Diceros bicornis minor: one gene and its partner. The protein of the gene in region 2 interacts with the protein of the main gene of each other region in a biochemical or structural test. Links are inferred from orthologs where the notes say so. Each region holds a gene or a part of one and is shown on either strand. Other genes may lie near its edges.

Region 1 (9,490 bases), on a different chromosome or scaffold from region 2:
CTGTGGCGGTGTCCCATATAAAGTGGAGGAACATGGGCACAGATGTTAGCCCAGGGCCAGTCTTCCTCAGGAAAAAGAGGAGGATTGGCAGATGTTAGCACAGGGCGGATCTTCCTCACACACACACACACAAAAGTAACTTAATAAACAGAATCTTAACAATGTTTATACTCAAATAAAATGGAGGTGAAAACCACCACAGGATTTCTGTTTATCAAATTATTTGTAATATAAAAATTACACACACATGCAGAAACAGAATCCTTTAGTGTCATTCAAAATCAACAAACAGCCACCTGACACGATACTTCTTGGGGGTTAAATTTAAAATCCACTACAGGAATACCACAAATACAGCAAGCAATTAATAAGATAAACCTACAGGACTCAAAAGTTACAAATATACCAAGTCATCTTTGTTTCTTCCTTTCTCTTCTCCCATCATTCCCTCCCCCATCAGAAACATCAAAATAGGCACCTCCAAGCCATAGCTCTGTCACTCTATATGATATCTATATGACCTATGACACACATGTCATCAGTCATCATTTTACACCTGGATTACAGTAACAGTCCCAGGTCACTCCCCTGCTTCAAACTCCTTCCACAGCATCCACTGCACTTTAAATAAAATCCCATTTCTTTGCCTTGACCATCATATCTCCAAACTCTTCTTATATGAGCCACTTCTTTAAGAACCACACTCCCAACAAAGACTGTCTTTCTCACCTCAGGACTTTGTGTAAGCTCCTCCCTATGCTTGTAAGGCTCTTACCCTCCTTTTAGCACAAGCCTTCCCAAGGCTTGCTTCTTCTCTACCCTTAGGTAGTTTCATGCTTTCTCTGACCACACCACCTCAGGTAGGTCCCTTCTATTATATTCTCTCAGGCTAGGTTTATTTCTTTCATAGCATTTATTAATCTTATAAGTATTTTTTTTTCTACTTTTTAGTCTGCCTCCTTCACTAAAATATAAGTTCCATGACGGAGAAAATATGTCTGTCACCCATCTTTCCTAGCACCTATCACTGGGATATAATTCTCCTCTAATCTTTTTTTGTTTGTGAGGAAGATCGGCCCTGAGCTAACATCTCCCAACCCTCCTCTTTTTTTTGTTGTTGAGGAAGACTGGCCCTGGGCTAACATCCATGCCCATCTTCCTCTACTTTATATGGGCCGCCGCCACAGCATGGGTTCACAAGCGGTGCGGTGGGTGCGCGCCCAGGATCTGAACCGGCGAACCCCAGGCCGCCACAGCGGAGCGCGTGCAATTAACCGCTTGCGCCACGAGGCCGGCCCCCAAAGTATTTTAATAAAATATAAAATTAAAAGTTAAGGAAGAGTCCAATAAAAAAGATCAGACAGAACAAAACAAGCACCAGTTCTTAAATTCTGACTTTTCGATAAGCAAAAGGAACTACTAGCCAAGGGGCATGAAACTTTTAATTTTATTTATTTATTTTTTCCCCCAAAGCCCCAGTAGATAGTTGTATGTCATAGCTGCACATCCTTCTAGTTGCTGCATGTGGGACGCGGCCTCAGCATGGCCGGAGAAGCGGTGCATCGGTGCGCGCCTGGGATCCGAACCCGGGGCGCCAGCAGTGGAGCGCACACACTTAACCGCTAAGCCATGGCCCCGGCCCAGCATGAAACTTTTTAAAGCTAAACCACTTAATTGATCCTGTTTGGGGTGTGAAGAAGCATTATATTGATTTTTGCATTTGGCCAAGGCTTTACTAGCCTCTAGTTTTCTACAAAGGCTAAAAACATTTCAAACCAAATCCATGAATCTCAGGCTTTCCTGAAATTCAAATCCATGAACTCCAAATCCATTAATTCAGATGCAACCCAAAGACGCAGTATAACAAAGCAAATCAAGTCAGGATCTAATTCAACCAGCATTGTGATCACCCTCCAAGATATCAGGGAAAATTAAAAAGTAAATTACAGCCACAGGCCTCAGGCGTAAGGCACAGAGAAGGAGAAACAATTACAGCTGAATGTGAGGGGGAGGGTCAGAGAAAGGTCCTATTATTTGTGAGGGGCCTGGAACAACAGGTAGGATTTCACTGGTCAGGAGTGGAGTGGAGTTAACGCTGTCAATGAAGAGCCAACAGCCTGAGCAAAGGTACAAAGCTGTGAGGAGGTGTGTAGGGATGGCTACCAGGGACTGAGTGAGTGGCCTTCGTGAGGCTGCAGTAAAGGAAGGATGAGAGGGAGCGAGGACACGCATCAAAGACAGAAAGTTCCGCCTGCTACCTGGGAAGACCAGTGTATGGAAAATTTGGATTCGTTCTTGTGGGTACTGGGAAGCCAGTGCAGCATCTCCCTTTTTCTCCTTCTAGAAGGGGATCAAGCCATTTACTCATACTTGTTGAGACAGCTGTATTACAGTACCTGTCACCTCAAAGAAAGCACAATACCCTGCACATAACATGGCTTAATAAATGCCTGAAATTAATGACATCATTCACCACCGCAAGTTAGTAAAGTAATTTACTTAAACACATTAAAAATCTCATTACAGTGGGTTCTAAGATTCTCCCCAACCCCTTATATTGGAATTATATTGTGCTCAAAGTTGACTCCAATTACCAGCATCTTTGGGGACCTGGAGGTTTCACCAATCAGATTCCTGGGGTCTACATCTTTGTTATACAGTATTTGATTTATAATCACTTTCTCCCATTTTTTAAAGTCCATTTAGTTCAGTAGTTAATCTAGTACAGTCATTATAATACCATGGTTTTGTTTCCTCTCTATATCTATTCCACAGAAGCAACACTTAGGCATCCAGTGGACGCTCCATAATTAATTATGATAGCTTTCAATGTTTAAAGTTCAGAGATATCTTGTCAGCAAAATCTATAAAGTCAGAAACATCTCATTCTGAAACATCTTTATTAGCATCCTCTCCATTTAAATAGATGCTTAAGAAACAAATTAGGCAAAGAAATACTTTTTATTTTTAAAATTCTAGGCAATTTCTTCAGCTCAAATTTGGCACAATTTAAATAAAAGAAACCTCTGACAGAATACTGATTAAGACAAATTAAAGCAAATAATCAAATAAAAAATGCATTTTACTTACAAAAGAGAATAGAATTAAGATAACTGTCATTCAAAAATTTCCCTTAGTAAGTAACATCTTAGCCTTATTCCTCCTTGGAATTTAACCAAATTAATTTCTAGCCTATTAATGGTCCATCTTGGCAGGAAACTATAAAATAAAAATTCAAAAAAATGTTCCCGCTGAAGCCAATGCACCTTCTTTTAAAATTTTGTAATTAATACATTATAAAACAGGTGTCTGGCTTATTTCAAACTTGGCATCAAGATATCAATATATAGTTGAAATTTCAGTTAAAGGTTTCTGTTTTTAAACGCTAAAGCATTTTCATTTGTCGACTATTTCAAAGGCTGCAGTCCAAGGGTTCTTGATCTGCAGTAACCTGGAGTGCACACATCTGCAGGGAGTCCAAGAACCTTGAATGCTGTGCACACTTGTGCGTACGTGCATTTTTGGAGGAGAGGGATGCCACGGCTATCTTCAGATTCTCAAAGTCTATAGCCCAAAAACACCACCACCACCACCCTGCTTTATTATGATAACCAAATAAAGAACGCGACGAAAAACAAAAAGCGTACATTTTAACTATGCAATCGCCGTTAAGCACGTTTAAAACGCATCCCCTCACCCAGTGACCCAGATCCTGACAGTAGCCTTCCGTTCGGAATGCCTTCTGGAAAATAATTTGGTTCAGAATGGGGACAAATAGGTTCAGTCACACCCCCCGCCCCCTCTTCGATCGACCCCAAGCGAACCAACCCGGCCCTTCTCGACCCTCCTCCGCGGTCGGGGTGGGCTGCGCGCCTACCTGGGCGCGGGCTCGATGAGGGTGGTGGTGTCCAGGTAATGGATCTTGTAGAACTCCAGCAGGGCGGGCAAGTGGTCAAACTCCTGGTCCCCGATCTTAAAACGGCGGTTGGGCAGCGAGTTGATGATGTAGTGGGAGACCCGCGAGTTCTCGGACACGGACAGCACATAGTCCCCGGGGCAGGTGGAGGAGTCGCGGACCAGGAACACGCCGTGGCGCTGACCTTGGAGCCGGGTCTGTGCCTCTTGGCGCGACACCGGCCCCATGTACCAGGCGGAGCGGTCTGAGGAGTCGAACCTGGCGGAGGACATGGTGTCGGAACGGGGCCCTGCGGCGGGTCGGGGCGCGGCTGCTCTCGCCTGCTCTGGTCGCCTCTGCCCGACAGACGGCTTTGGGGCCGAAGAAGGGCCTCGACACACCTCGAGGCGCGCTTACAAGGCCGAGCCAGCACCTTCCTCTCGGCTCCGGGCCCGCAGCATCCCCCGCCGCCGCCGCCCGCCTGCTCCGGGGTCGCCTCAAGGAGGGAGCCGGCTCGGGGAATGCGGGGCAGAGCCCGGGGTCGGGGCGGGCGAAGCCGAGCCGCAGCGGAGGCCGCCCCGGGGTCTCGGGCTGCCCAGCGTACCAGGGGTGCGCTCCAGTCACTTCTGGCCTGGAACGCGCCGGCCTCGCGCCCCTACGGCTCTGCACCGACCTCCGCCGCCACTCCAAGCACTAAACTCCAGGGAGCGTCGCGCCTCCGGGGCGGTTTTGCCCAGCCCGTTCCCAACAGCCACAGCAACAAAATGGCGGACGCGGGAGAAGCACCCGGCCACCTCCCCCTCTGCTCAGCACGCTCCGTCTGCGCACGCGCAGCCCCCGGCTCCCAGCTGCCGCCGGGGCCCTCCCCGTGACGTCAAGCAGCGCAGCCAATCAGGAGCGCGGTGGTGACCGTCCGGGCGTGCGCGGCTCTCGCCCGCTCCCGCGTTCCGGGAGGAGGCGGAGGCGGAGGTCGCGGAGGCGGGCACTCCCTTCCTGGACGGCGGTGTGCCGCCGGGGGCGCTGCAGCTGCCGGGTCTCTTTGAGCTGGCAGGAAAACAGCTGGACTCGAGAGGGAGCGGCTTTTCGAAAACCTGCTCTGGGAACAAAGCGTAACGTGCAGGCCTAATCTGCGGCCTGGGAGGCGTGGCACTGAGGTGACCTGGCCGGCCGAGGGGCCCAAGGGGACCCGCGCTAACGGAGACCGACGGGAGGACAGGCCCCGATGGGCCGAGGTGGCTCAGGAAGGAGACCGCGGGGGCTTAGGTGACCGGCAGATGGGCCCGAGGTGGCCTGGTAGGCTAAGGGACCCAGAGTGGCCAGGTGACCCGACAGGCACAAGTATAGGGTGTGAAGGTTGTATTGGCAGGATTAAGTGGTTTAGGAAGTCTACAGCCTGGGGTAATCTAGCCATCACTGGCGCTGAATTACTGCAAATAAAATGCAAACGCCTCTGGGGCGTGGCTTGAAGGCCTCGCCTGCTCCGGATTCTGCCTGCTGCTCCGAGTTAACCTCCCTCCATTCCCCCTTGTTTACCCCGCTCCAGCAGTGCCCTCTAGCCTGTCTACCAGCCCACCCCTGTCCTCCCCACTGGAATGTAAATTTTAAGAGAGCGGGAATCTTGTCTATCTTGTTCACCTCTGGGCCTAGCAAAATGTCTGGCCCTGACTTGATGCTCAAATATTTGTTGAATGAATGACTACTGAAGAAAACCTCAGGCAACTGGTGCTGGATTATTGGTAGCACCACCCCCGAAACTGGACAGACAAGAAAGTAACTGCACAGACAAGAAAGTATGTCCAAAAAGGGAGATGCAGGCAGTACAAACCCACGCTTAGATCCCTCTGTCAGTGGAATTGCATTCTGGCCGTTTGCACCCTCCCTCCTCCCCAGATTGAACATATCCTAGATTGTAGGGTGATAGGTGATGTCCATCTTTGGGTAAACTAAAGGGGAAATGTCAAGGTCTACTGCCTTTTGTGATTCAGCATTACAGGTTTTCATCTTCTCTCCAAATACTTTCATGTTGTATTAGTCTCAGGTTTGATTAGCACAGAATTTGAAAATGATGGCTTGGGTTCCACTCCTGGCTTAATCAGTTGACTAGCTGAGTGGCCTTGGGCCAGTTACTTAATCATCCATCCATGCCTCATATATTATTAAACAAGCTAATAAATGTAAAGTACTTAGAATAGTGCCTGGCACATATTAAGCATCATATAAGAGTTTTTTATTATTGTTATTTAGCCTCTTTCTTGGCTTCTACCTCCATTGCCTACAAACACGGAGATCTTAAAATGAGTGGATGAGGGTGGGGAGAATAATTCCCATTTGATTTGCTAGCTACTTTTCACTGCCAGATTTTACCACTTCATCATCACCCACTCCTTGCCCAGCCTTCTTCATTTGGTTTCTACCCTTACTTTGCCTGAAACTTGCCTTTGGAGATCATCACTGATCTCCATTGATCCCATCATTTTCCTTGATCTACCTGGCTCTACGCGTTTATGTTGAAAATCTCTTTCCAGAAAGACTACTTTTGTTTTTGTTTTTTCTTCTTTTAAGCTCCTGGGACACTAACGTAATTTCTTCTACCTCTCCAAATACACTTTCTCAGTCTCTTTCTGTGGCTCTTTTGTCCAGCCTCAAAGTGTAGAAACTCAGTCCTCAACCTCTCTCTTTTGGTAGCTTCTCCTTTGGTAGGCCAATCTTCATGAAGGCTTTAGGGGTCATCCCTTTGTTGGTGACTTCAAAACACATATATTCTAAAAGTAGAACAAAAACTGACCACACCCTATGCAAACACCTAAATTAATTTTTATCACATGCTATTGTAATTCTTTATGTGTCTCTCCTTTCCTAATCTGAGCATCTTGGAGGCAGACTGTAGTATTATTTTTTGTATTCCCAGTGCCTATCACATAATATACACCTAGTAAATGGTTTTTGAATGTAGGTGGATAACGATGGGAAGAAACCAGAGAAAACTAAAAATTTATTTTAGTGAAGGTAAGGAGACTATGTGATTTTTTTCCCCTTTTATTAACATAATAAATGTATTCAAAGTAGATATTTGGACCTAAGGTTTAGCCCCATATCACTCTCTGTTTAAATCTCCCATTTGGAGGGGCCAGCCTCGTGGCTTAATGGTTAAGTGCGAGTGCTCCGCTGCTGGCAGCCTGGGTTCGGATCCTGGGCTAGCACTAACACACCGCTTGTCTGGCCATGCTGAGGCCGCGTCCCAGCAACTAGAAGGATGTGCACCTATGACATACAACTATCTACTGGGGCTTCGGGGAGAAAAAGGGGAAAAAAAAAAAGGAGGAGGATTGGCACTAGATGTTAGCACAGGGCCAGTCTTCCTCACAAAAAAAGAGGAGGATTGGCACGGATATTAGCTCAGGGCTGATCTTCCTCACAAAAAAAAAAAAATCTTCCATTTGGATTAAATTTTGCCTTTCAGCTCCCCCTTTTCTGTCAGTAGCATCACTGTTTTCCTAATTGGCAGACTCAAATCTCAGTCATCTTTTACTTAACTGAAGAACTCCGTGATATGTGATTTATAAGTGCTTTTCAATTCACAGAACTTCACATAATACATTGTTTTGCTTAATCTAACCAAAGTCCCATGAAATACCCTGTAACAGAGGATCCAGAAGCTCAGAGAGGTTAAGTGACTTGCTTATATAAGTTATTGTAAGTTATATAATTTGCAAGAGGCAGAGCTGGCACTCTTAAGCCAGGTCTTTTGACTTGAAGTCAAGGTCTCATTTCACTGTTACACAACTGCCTATAATTTAGTCAATTTTCTTTGTTTTGCTGATAGTGAAAATGAGGCCCTCCAAAGTAAATTCTAGCACCAGAAAGGAATATCAATCTTGGAACAGGGAGAAGCGGTTGGATTTGTCCCCTAGCTTGGGTTTCAGATACCACCACCATTCTGCTGCCAAAGGGCCATGCTCCCCTCTTTAAAAATTCCTCTTAAAAATGAATCAAGGGGCCGGCCCCATGGCATAGTGGTTAAGTGCTTGCGCTCCGCTGCTGGCGGCCTGGGTTCGTATCCCTGGCACGCACCACTTGTCAGGCCATGCTGTGGCAGCGTCCCGTATAAAGTGGAAGAAGATCAGCATGGATGTTAGCTCAGAGCCGGTCTTCCTCAGCAAAAAGAGGAGGATTGGCATGGATGTTAGCTCAGGGCTGATCTTCCTCACAAAAAAAAAAAAAAAGAATCAAAATACCTCTCCTTTTGCTTCAAAATAGTCCAGTAGGGAATAGGGTATGGATTAGATAAAGATGAAACAAGAATGGCCTTGTGTTGATAATTGTTGAAGCTGGGTGACATGATGTGTATGTGTGTGGGGTTAATTATATTATATTATTCTACTTTTGTATATGTTTGGAATTTTTCACAATAAAATTTTTTTTAATTTTTTTTAAACGAGTCTCTATTTCTTTTTTATTTTTATTTTATTTTTTTGCTGAGGAAAATTGGCCCTGAGCTAACATCTGTGCCCATCTTCCTCTGTTTTGTATATGGGATGCCACCACAGCATGGCTTGATGAGTGCTGCATAGGTCTGTGCCCGGGATCTGAACCTGTGAACCCTGGGCTGCCAAAGCGGAGTATGGGAACTTAACCACTATGCCACTGGGCTGGCCCCTCACAATAAAAAGTTATTTTAAGTACTTTCATTTATTCTTCCTTAGCACAGCTGAGACAAGCTTTAAAAAAAATTCCAAAAAATGTTCTTAGATGTTAAGAGAGAACAAAATGGAAATGAATGGAGAAGCAACAAGGAAGCATTTAAAAAAGGGCTGTAACATAAAGATTTGTGATTCTGTCTTAGCTTGCTCATTCCCAGGGTTTCCAGATGGCATTATACTTACTCATCTTCTAAGATATTTACAAGCTAGACTCAAAGGACTGACAGGCTTTTTGAGCAACTTGTCCGGATTCCTTACTTCCTAGCCCTGAGGCTAGCTCTGTACAGAAAACACAACCGGGACCCACTGCTGACTTTTTGTTCTCCCCTGTCTAAGCAGGTCCAACCCTTCAGGTGATGGTTAAAGCCAGGCAATCGTTGTAGATTGCTGCCTTACTGAGGACACCAGAACAAGCGTCTGACCCTTCTTCCTGCCCCTGATAATTTTCTTTTTTCCCTCCTATTACTTTGCTACTCTAATACTAATAATGTTCGTATCCCCATTATAATTTTCCATACCAAACTATTTAAAATATCAACTGAATAATCACTTCTTTCATAGGGTGATACCTCTGAACTAGGCTTAGCTACGATATCCAGAAGCTCTGCTGACTACTACAGAAAGCACTGGCCTACTTTATTCCAGTGTTTTAAAGTATGGTCATGTTCCCCTTGTCATTTTGTAATGTAGTTTTAATTGCTCTGTCACCTCTATTATAAAATGTCCGCTTTCTTGTCACTTCGCTGCTTGAGAGCTGAAAGCAAATTTTCCCGTTTCCCTTGGATTTCAGAGCACTCTGGAGTGTCATTAGTAAAATTCTGAGCAGGGTGATCCTTCCACTAGGGCATACTGATTCCCTCTCACACTTATCTCAAAGAAGTCGGTTCTACGCAAC
Region 2 (10,054 bases):
TCTGTGAGTGCAGATAAGCCAGGCCCTGGGGACGAGGGTAGACATGGGGCCGTGAGTGCCTGGGGGCTGGAGCAGGGTCCTGCCCCACCCCCCCAGGCCCACCAGGCCCCTCCTCACCTGGAGCACCTCCCGGCAGACGTAGCTGATCTGGAGCTCTGACAGGGAGCCTGTCACTGCAAAGGTCACCCCAGTGCGGTGTTGGGTGGGACTCAGGCAACACGGGCCCAAGAGCCCCTGGCCCCCACTCACACTGGCTGAGAGGGTGCCACATGGGGAAGGGGAAACAGGACAGGACAAGCGAGAGGGGAAGACGGAGGGGTGGTCAGCCACAGGGAGAGGCAGCAATGCAGGGAACCAGAGGCCGGGGAGACAGATTCATTCAGCAGATATTTACTGCTTGTCTACTGCGTGCCAGGCCCTGTGGTCAGCACGGGGGATACAGCTGCGGATGAAAGAGACAGAGATCCCTGCCCTTGTGGAGAGAACACTGCAGATGGGGAGACCGACAGTAAACAAGATCAATAAGTAAAAGATGTGGTACGTGAGACGCTAATAAACAGTAAGAAGGAAAATAAAGCAAGAAAAGACAACAGGAAATATGTGTGGGAAGGGGTATGACATTTTACACAGGGTGGTCAGCGAAGATTGCTCTAAGGAGGTGACAGGGTGAAGCTGTGAGCAGTGCTGCTTGGCTCCAAGGGGGAACAAGGAGAGCCAGAGCAAAGGCCGGGAGGTGGCAGAGTGTCTGGCGGGCCTGGAAAGCAGCAAAGTGAGTGGAGTGGAGTTCAGGGTAGGAAAGTGGCAGGAGGTGAGGTCAGTCGGCTGGTGGCGAGGGGGGCGGGTCAGACTCTGGGGCAGGACGAGGAGTTTGGTCTTCTCTTCGGAGGGAAATGGAAGCCATGGGGGGACTCTGAGCAGGAGGTGATGTGACGCTGCAAAATGAGGAAAAGCAGAGAGAGAGGGAGAGGGAGAGGGAGAGAGGGAGAGAGGGGGAGGGGGAGAGGGAGAGAGGGAGAGAGGGAGAGGGAGAGGGGGGAGAGAGGGAGAGGGGGAGGGGGAGAGAGGGAGAGAGGGAGAGAGAGAGAGGGAGAGAGGGGGAGAGGGAGAGAGAGAGAGGGAGAGAGGGGGAGAGGGAGAGGGAGAGAGGGGGAGAGGGAGAGAGGGAGAGGGGGGGGAGAGGGAGAGGGGGAGAGGGAGAGAGGGAGAGAGGGAGAGGGAGAGAGGGAGAGAGGGAGAGAGGGAGAGGGAGAGAGGGAGAGAGGGAGAGAGGGAGAGGGAGAGAGGGAGAGAGGGAGAGGGAGAGAGGGGGAGAGGGAGAGAGGGGGAGGGGGGGAGGGGGAGAGGGAGAGAGGGAGAGGGGGAGAGGGGGAGAGGGAGAGAGGGAGAGAGGGAGGGGGAGAGGGAGAGAGGGAGAGGGGGAGAGGGAGAGGGGGAGGGGGAGAGGGGGAGAGGGGGAGAGGGAGAGAGGGAGAGAGGGAGAGAGGGAGAGAGGGAGAGGGGGAGGGGGGGGAGAGGGGGAGAGGGAGAGGGGGAGGGGGGGAGAGGGGGAGAGGGAGAGAGGGGGAGGGGGAGAGGGAGAGAGGGAGAGGGGGAGAGGGGGAGAGGGGGAGAGGGAGAGAGGGGGAGGGGGAGAGGGAGAGAGGGAGAGGGGGAGAGGGGGAGAGGGAGAGAGGGGGAGGGGGAGAGGGAGAGAGGGAGAGGGGGAGAGGGGGAGAGGGAGAGAGGGAGAGGGGGAGAGGGAGAGGGGGAGAGGGAGAGAGGGAAAGAGGGAGAGAGACACAAAGAGAAGCAGGAACAGATCCAAATTGAGAAAGAGAAAGAAAGAGACGGTCAGAAACCAAAAAGTAGGAAGACAGAGATATTGAGAAAAAGAGAGACACAGAGGGCTGGAGAGACAGACAACAGACAAAGAGAGGGGGTCAGAGACCAGGTCTGACAGACCGGCCGTGAATCACTGTCTCTCTGTGGGCCTCAGTTTCCCCCCGAGGACTTCTTAATGAAGTCCTTCCTTTTCTGACATTTGAGGTCTTGGGCTGGAGGGAGACAGGGAGATGGTCGAAGACAGAGGCGGGCATCAGAAATTGAGAGGTGATCAGCCCACCCCACCCACACCCGCAAATTCTCCAAGAGAATGAAAAGCAGGCTGCGAGAGAGAAATCAGAAACTCATTCACGCATTCAACGAAAACGTGGGCACCAACTATAAGCCAGAAACGCAGCAATACTCACACACACGCGTGGACCTTGGTGAGAAAACGCAGACACAGAGGAAGACGCGGAGGGGAAGCAGCAGGGATCGCCACACGCAGAAAGATTAAGGCTGGGCTGCCCAGTCCCAGCGGACAGGGCCTAGGGCCCACTCGGTCACCACAGCATCCCCAGCATCATCCAGGCCAGGCCCAGAAGAGGGGCTCATTGTGTGACACACGGACCAGAAAAAAGGGACACAGAGAGACAGGAGAGGTGACTGGAGGGGCAGGGGCTGCCTGGATGCCCTTACCCCTCCTCTCACCTTGGTAGATGTCCTGGAGAGAACCAGCCCCACAGAATTCCATGCAGATCCAGAGCTTCTGCAGCCTACAACAGTTCAAGAGTAACAATAATAACAATAATAATAATAATAACAACAGCAGTAATAAATTATTACTTATAGGACAGCCCCTGGCTCACTGTCTTGTTCTAGTTCAACAGGAGCTTTAATATAACAGCTGTCATCTCTCTACCTCCCCTTGCCCACCAGAGAGAACACCCCACTTCCATTTTACAGATGGGCAAGTTGAGGCTCAGAGAGGAAATATATACTCAGGGTCAACTGGACTCAAACCCAGGTCTTTGGGCTCCTAACCCAGGGCACCCTCTGCTGTCCCACGCTAAGCCAGGAGAGAGGGCAGAGCTCTCAAAGGTTGTGGAGGTCGGGAGGGGACAGAGGTGCCCAGGGTGACAGGTCTGGGGGACACAGGTCATTATTGGGGCATATGGGATATTAATTTGGGGGTCAGGGAATTTAGGAGCTTACATTAAAGGAGCAGAGAGTGAAACTAAGGGGCCCCAAGGGCAGGATGATGAGAGATTAGTTTTAGGCGACTTGGTTTCAGGTTTGGTTACTAGGAAGGGATCAATATTGGGGACCTCTGGTTAGAAAAGGGAGTTCTGGATTGGGGATTAGATTAGCGGGTGCTCTGGTCAGAAAAGAGGGGCTTCCAACTGGGAAGTTAAGTTAGGGGTGCCCCAGTTAAAAATGCGAGTCCAGGATTGGAGATCGGGTTAGGGGACGCCCTGGTCAGGAACGGGGGTTCTGGGCTAGGGGCTGGGTGGGGTCAGATCTGAGGCTCATCACCAGAGATAACTCCCATGGTAGGCCACGATGTTGGCATGCCGGCAAGTTTTCAAGATGAGGATTTCCTTCTGCAGTGTGGAAACATCGTCATCTGCGAGGAGGGGCAGGAGAGAAAAGGCGGCTGCAGGGAGGGGGCACGGGGGAGATCCATGTCCCAGAAGGTGGGGGTGGGGGTGGGGGTGGGGAAGGAGCTCCTGGGTCCTCTCCTCACCAGGCTCCATCTTCACCATCTTCAATGCAACCAGGTCCCCCGACACCTTGTCTCGAGCCTTGGAAAGGGGAAGTTGGCAGTCAGGCAGGCTCCATTCGCCTGAGCTCTCCCTCAGCATCCCTGAGTCAAAGCCGAGGGCTGGGACCCTCTCGCATCCCCTTCCCTTCTTGGGCCTCACCCCAAAGGTCACTGGTTTGAGGGTGATGGAGAAGGAGGGGGGTCCTCACCTTGAAGACTTCCCCATAGGTGCCGCCACCCAGCCGCTGTAGCAGGTCATAGTGTTCCCGGGGGTCCTTATTAAAGATGTCGGGGTCCACGAGGTCCATCCCTGGGGGCCGGAGCTGGGCCTGCGCCCAGCGGCCAGCAGGGCCTCAGGGCTCGAGTGCTGGCACCTCCCTCCCTCCCCACAAGCCCTGCACCCGCCTTGCCTCCACCGGCTGTGGCCTCCCCCCTCCCCACTCTCGCTTCCTGCCCCAGCGCAGGGCTGTGCAGCCGGCTCCACCCCCTGTCCCCTGAGAGCCTGTGAGGGGCAGCTTGCTTTGGGACCCAGGGGACCCCCCTCTCCACCTCCAGGGCCCTGAGCTGAATGTAAACCAGATGCAAACTATCTTAATTGTGACTTGGGGGGTGCCCTAGCACCCCCCTCCCTTCCCCGTCAGCGTTCTGTTTCTGGGCGGCGACTAGGAACCACAGTTGAACCTCTGCTGAGTGCTTGAGGGTTTGGCCACAACCCAGAGATGGCAAGTCTGCACAGCGACGGCCATGCAGCGTACATTACTGTTCACTTGGGGCACACACACGCGCTTAGTGCTACTCCCCTGTGCGGTGCGCAGACCAGTCGACGTGCACGTGCCGGGATACCTGTGTGCACACATGTGGATGTACCCAGAGCACATACCTCCACATATATGACACATGCGGGGGCATTCAGGCCTGCAGTGTGCAGAATCTGTACACGCATAACTCATGATGGCACACATGGGCGCTCGCCTTCACCCACAAGACTGGAGCCTATGGGGACTGGGCGCAATCCGGCGGGGTCCAGGAGCCCCTCACTCGAGCCCCCACCGGGCAGAGCACAACAGATTTGCAGGCCCCTACCCCTAGAGTTAGGGTGGGGTATGGAGACCAGGTTCAAGGCTTGAAACTGCGGAGCTCCCGGTCCTGCCTCGGGGACCCAGGCCTGGGGCAAAGGGGACCTTAGAGAGCACCGCCCTCGGGACCTGGCCAAGGCCCAAACGGAGAGCTACTACGCGCATCCCAGCAGTTCCGTGAGTTCACGGCCGCGCGCAACGCGACGTGCGCGCACGCCGTTAGAGCTCCATCTCCTTCCTGGCGAGTTCGCGCGCACGTCCTGGGAGCTAGAACCGGCTACGCGAGGCCCGGGAAAAGCTTAGCCCCGCCTCCTCGCCTGAGACGGCGCCTGAGCACTGGGCTAGGAGAAATTTTTTCTCATGCCGTTGGTCGAGCTCGGGTGGAGCGTGTGCGCAAGCGCCAACTGCGCCCGAGGGGCAGAAGTCACGTGACAGCCGGAAAGCGTGGCAGCCGCCGCAACAGCCTTCCCCTTCTCCACCCCCCGGGGCTGGCTGGAGGGACAACAATGACGTAGTTTCCGTTTCCGCCGCCTCTTCCTTTTCCGGTCCTCGAGGACGCCGGGCCAGCCGGGTTTTCGGCTCCAGCCCCGGTGTGGGAGGCGACGGCAGTCATGGCGATGTTTGAGCAGATGAGAGCGAACGTGGGCAAGTTGCTTAAAGGCATCGACAGGTCTGAGCCCGGTCGGAGGGAGCGCTTTTGGCCAGGCGGGGTGGAGGAGAAGGTTTTCGGGGACAGCAAGGGGTGGTCAGGGTCCTGGGCTTGCCCTGAGGTGGCATTTCCCTGTTGTCTTGGAGACGTTTCAGGAAACAGCGCTGCAAAGGCCTAAAGGCAGGAGATAGTCTTGTTTTCCACCCAGTCCCTGCCTCTTTGTTTTAAGACTCTTTCTCTGTCCCTTAGTTTTCTCTCTCTGCTTCTCAGTCTCTCACTGTGTCTCTTCATCTCTCATTCTTTTCCTTTTATGTCAGTCATTCAGTACGTGTTCGCTAAAATCTACTCTGTCAGTGCTGAGGACGAGAGGTGACCAGTACAGCTGCAAGTCATGATTTCATGGAGTTCCCAGTTCAGAGTCCAGACAAACCGGCCAGTAGACAGTGATAGCCAGGAGTGGTCAGGGCTGTGATGGGGGAAGCCAGGCAGGAGAGGATGGGGCTGGACCAGAGTGGGGGCCTGGGGAGGGGAGCAAGGGGTGGGAGGCAAAGATGTCCAGGAGGCCAGGTATACAGGCTGCCATGACTGATTGGCTGAGAGGCTGGGGAGGCGTCCTAGGAATGACCCAGGGCTTTGATGGGCTTTAGAGCTTAGCTTTAGATCTGGGATGTGGATAAGTTTTATTAGAGGTTATAGGGCTGATTCCAGACTTGGGTAGAGTAGGTGACCAGTACCAGATTTAGAGAGAAGGGAGGGAGAGAGAGAGGAGCAGGTTACAGTGCCCACCTGCACCCTAGTCCCGTAAAGTGACTGACCTCAGCTCCTGTGTCCATCTTGAATCCCCCCTAGGTACAATCCTGAGAATCTGGCCACCCTGGAGCGCTACGTGGAGACGCAGGCCAAGGAGAATGCCTATGATTTGGAAGCCAACCTGGCTGTCCTAAAGCTGTGAGTGTCTGTCTCCATCCCGACCCTCTTGCCAGCAGGGTGCACTCCTAACACTGGGTGGGGTGGGAGTTGGAGTGGCCTGCAGGATGTGGCTTTTCTTGGTGTGCAAATCTAGGAAGCCAAGGAAGTTGGGGCAGGGGGAGGATGGTTTTTAAAAAATTCATTACAAGACACACATACGGGCTAGTACATAAAACAAATAGGTAGTCTAGCAAGTAATTATAAATGAACACTCACATCGTGATCACCATCCATATTGCAAAATTGAGTATTGCTAGTGTGTTGGGTCTTTGTCCCATATGCTTTGTGCCAACCACCCCATCCCCCACTCTAGTAACCACTCTTATGCTCTTCTGGCCTGCCTTTATGTGAGTTTACCACACATGCATGCATCCTGATTAGCCTAGCTCAGGTTTTCCTGCTTTGAATGGGACACAAATGTAGTCATTCAGCACATGCTGTTCTGCGTCTGGCATCTTCCACTCAGCACTGGGTCTGTGAGATCCATCCGTTGTCTGTGTGGCTGCAGTTTGTATGTTGTCATTGCTGCATCGTGTTCCACTGTGCGACTGTGTCCTGATTATCCGTTGTTCTGTGGATGGATGTTGGGGTTCTCCCCGCCTCAGTGCTTTATTGACAGGCTATTGCCTGGGTGATTTTTACAGATTGTATAGCCTCGGTTTTGACACCTATAAAGTGGTGATAACAGCACTTGTATTTGTGGCTTGATTGTTATTGGTGATGACCTCTGCCTCATGAGCACTCACTGAACGGAGCTATGGTGCTATAAGCTTTGTATGTGTGAACTCACTTAGGTACTATATTGCCCTTGTGAGGTAGACATGGTTGTTATTGTCGTTGTTATTTGCAAGGGAAGAAATTGACGTACAGAGAGTTTAAAGTCAGTAGTCCAGGGACACTCAGCAGGGAAGTGTATACCCACTACTCCGGGCTACTATTTCTGTACTCACTTGTTTGTGATCCACGGAACAGTGTGTGTCTGACTAGCCACGCTATCCCCATATACGGAGCAGGAAAGGAGGCTCAGGGAGGTTAAGGTCACACGACCAGAGAGGGCTGTGGTTGGGATAGGAGTCCAGGCATGTCCAGCTGCCAAGCTCTGGGCCAAAGCAGTGGGCGGCCTGCCTGGCAGCTGGTGAGGTCCAGGGACCCGGAGGTGCCGCTGTTGCTATGTCTCTGTTCCCCTTCTCAGGTACCAGTTCAACCCGGCCTTTTTCCAGACCACGGTCACTGCCCAGATCCTGCTGAAGGCCCTCACCAACCTGCCCCACACCGACTTCACGCTGTGCAAGTGCATGATCGACCAGGCACACGTATCCCTCCAGCTCCCAGGCTGGTGTGGGGGGGAGGGGGCGTGGCCCAGTAGATGAACTCACCTGGAAGTGGTCTGGCAGTTCAGCCACAAACACTGCGTGCCTGATCTGGGCTTGGCCCGCTGCTGGGTGGGGCTGGGACACTGCCCTCACGGAGCTCACTGCCCACTGGAGGAGACAGGCCCCTGTCGGTGACAGCCTGGAGCAGTCAGGGCTTGGGGTTAGAGGGGCCAGAGGAGGCACCTGACCCTGTCTGGGTGTTAGGGAAAGCTTCCTGGACGAGGGAGCATCTGAGAGATGAAGAGTCAGGTGAAGCAGCAGGGAAGGGTGATCCAGGCAGAGGGAACAGTATGTAGGGAAGCCTGGAGGAAAAGAAGAGCTCAGTACTGTGTTTTAGAGGCAGTAGAGGAAGTTTGCCATAGCCGCACCACAGATTTCAAGGTGGAGTTTGGTCAGATTCAGAAAGGGCACTGGGGAGCCATAGAAGGTTTTAAAGCTGCAGAGTGGTATGGGGAGATGTATGCTTTAGAAAGATTCCCATGAGGGTGCCTAGCTGAGTAAAGACCGCCAGGCAAGAGGCAGGAGTCCTGAAGAGCTAGATTGTCAGCTGAACTTCATTATACGTATCCCGTCTCTTGACGAACTTGGCAGAGTCCCCCATCCATGCTGGGCCCTGTGCTTGTACCTGCTGGATAGCGGCTGAGCTGAGACATGCTGGCTTACTCATTGAACCTGCTCTGCCAGGTGGTCCGTGGGAGTGCCTGCCTTCCGAGAGATGGCCCACCTTCCCCAGGGGTCTGTTTTGGTGGCTTAAAAAAAAAAGGCATACAATACGCTGTTAAAAGTACAAAAAAGCATACAGTGAAAAGCAATAGAGCTTCCTCCCTCCCCTGTCCCACAGCCATCTCACTCTCCTCCGAGGAGGCAATAGTTGTTTGCAGTTCTTCGGTACCTTTCCACAGATAGCCCCTAGATGTGTACACGTGTGTGTGCTTATATACAGGTGTCCCCCCACCCAAGTGGTATGCTACTATGCATGTTGTTCTGCATCTTGCTTTCTTCACAGTGTGTCTTGTCACGTTCTCCACCTCAGTTCTGTAAGAGTTGACTCGATCTCAGTGTGTGGATGGGCCGTTGTTGATTTCATTGTCCCCATCATCAGATCGTTAGCTTGATCTCACCTTTGCGGTTACCTTAACCGTGCTGCGCTCTGTACAGAAGGTGGGCGGGGAGGGACGGTCTAGGACTCAGCAGCAGCCCCCTCAGGCTCCAAGGCCATTTTTCCTTAACACTTCCTCCTCCCAGCAAGAAGAACGGCCGATCCGGCAGATTTTGTACCTCGGAGACCTACTGGAGACCTGCCACTTCCAGGCCTTCTGGGTAACTTCCCTTGGGTGCCGGGACACGGAGGGTGACTGGGCACTCGGAGCAGACTGCTAAAAGTAACGACTGTGTACATTTCTGGCTGCCTGGCGATGAGCCCTGTGTGCGTGATCTCATGGAGTTGTCATCCTCACGCGGCGCCAGGACTCCCAGGCCGTCCTCTGGGCCCACAAGGCTCAGGCTTACACACACACCCATCCTTCCTGCAAAAGTCCTCCATCCTTTGAACGCTCTGTCTCTTGCTCTAACTGGAGCCCGGCCTCCACTTCTGCGGCTTCCCAAGTGGGAGGCCAACGGTCTCCTTGCTTCTCACTGCCTCTCCCAGACCCATCTCCCTCCCCTCCTGAAACCCCCCAGCCCTGAAGGTCGTGTGTCGTCGCCTCCTGCCCCACTTGGTGGGGTCAGCCCCCAGGTGATTGCTCGTCATTGCATGAGGGATTTAGCTGCTACTCACTGCCACCCTTTTCTCCTCTCCTCATTCTCAGATGCTTGGAAAGCCAGATTGGTGATCCTCCCACCGCCCTGACCTCTCGTTTCCTCCATCTCGTATCCTCCATGTGGCCTCTGCCTCTCACTCCCGGTCTAGCCTAGACCAGTTCTCAGCACACTGGACCCCTGAGGAGTTATAATTTTATTTTATTTATTTATTTTTCCCCCAAAGTCCCAGTAGATAGTTGTACGTCACAGTTGCTCATCCTTCCAGTTGCTGTATGTGGGACGCGGCCTCAGCATGGCGGGAGAAGCGGTGCGTCGGTGCGCGCCCGGGATCCGAACCCGGGCCACCAGCAGCGGAGCGCGCACACTTAACCGCTAAGCCACGGGGCCGGCCCTGAGGAGTTAAAAAAAAATACTAACACTTGAGTCCTGCCCTTGCAGAGTCCGATGTAATTGATCTGGGTGTGATCTAGGCTGTGGGATTTTAAACAATTATCCCAAGTGATTGTGACGCCCAGCTAAGGCTGGGAGCCACTGCCCTGTACTTGTCTTCACCGATAATTTCCCTGTCCTCTGCTCATGAATGCCACACATTTCCACCCTCTGACCACTTCCTCCTAGCTTCCCAGCTCACCTCCTTGAGGTCTCCAGCCCAACATTCTTG

The links. The genes of interacting proteins can lie anywhere in the genome.
Region 1: the proteins of MAP4K1 (region 2) and CRKL form a complex in vitro, tested with the Homo sapiens proteins (2 studies listed by BioGRID). The link is inferred for Diceros bicornis minor from reciprocal best matches to the Homo sapiens genes MAP4K1 and CRKL.

The regions. Positions count from the first base shown.
Region 1 is NC_080774.1:30,943,710-30,953,199, reverse strand, and holds the start of CRKL (crk-like protein), read right to left. Parts: upstream 4,699-9,490; 5' UTR 4,189-4,698; coding exon 3,878-4,188; intron 1-3,877. UniProt on the Homo sapiens protein: May mediate the transduction of intracellular signals.
Region 2 is NC_080773.1:12,765,667-12,775,720, forward strand, and holds the start of MAP4K1 (mitogen-activated protein kinase kinase kinase kinase 1), read right to left. Parts: upstream 4,006-10,054; 5' UTR 3,874-4,005; coding exon 3,775-3,873; intron 3,606-3,774; coding exon 3,548-3,605; intron 3,428-3,547; coding exon 3,337-3,427; intron 2,577-3,336; coding exon 2,512-2,576; intron 174-2,511; coding exon 118-173; intron 26-117; coding exon 1-25. Other genes in the region: EIF3K (eukaryotic translation initiation factor 3 subunit K), read left to right, coding at 5,253-5,311, 6,140-6,238, 7,452-7,572, 8,878-8,952. UniProt on the Homo sapiens protein: Serine/threonine-protein kinase, which plays a role in the response to environmental stress. Appears to act upstream of the JUN N-terminal pathway.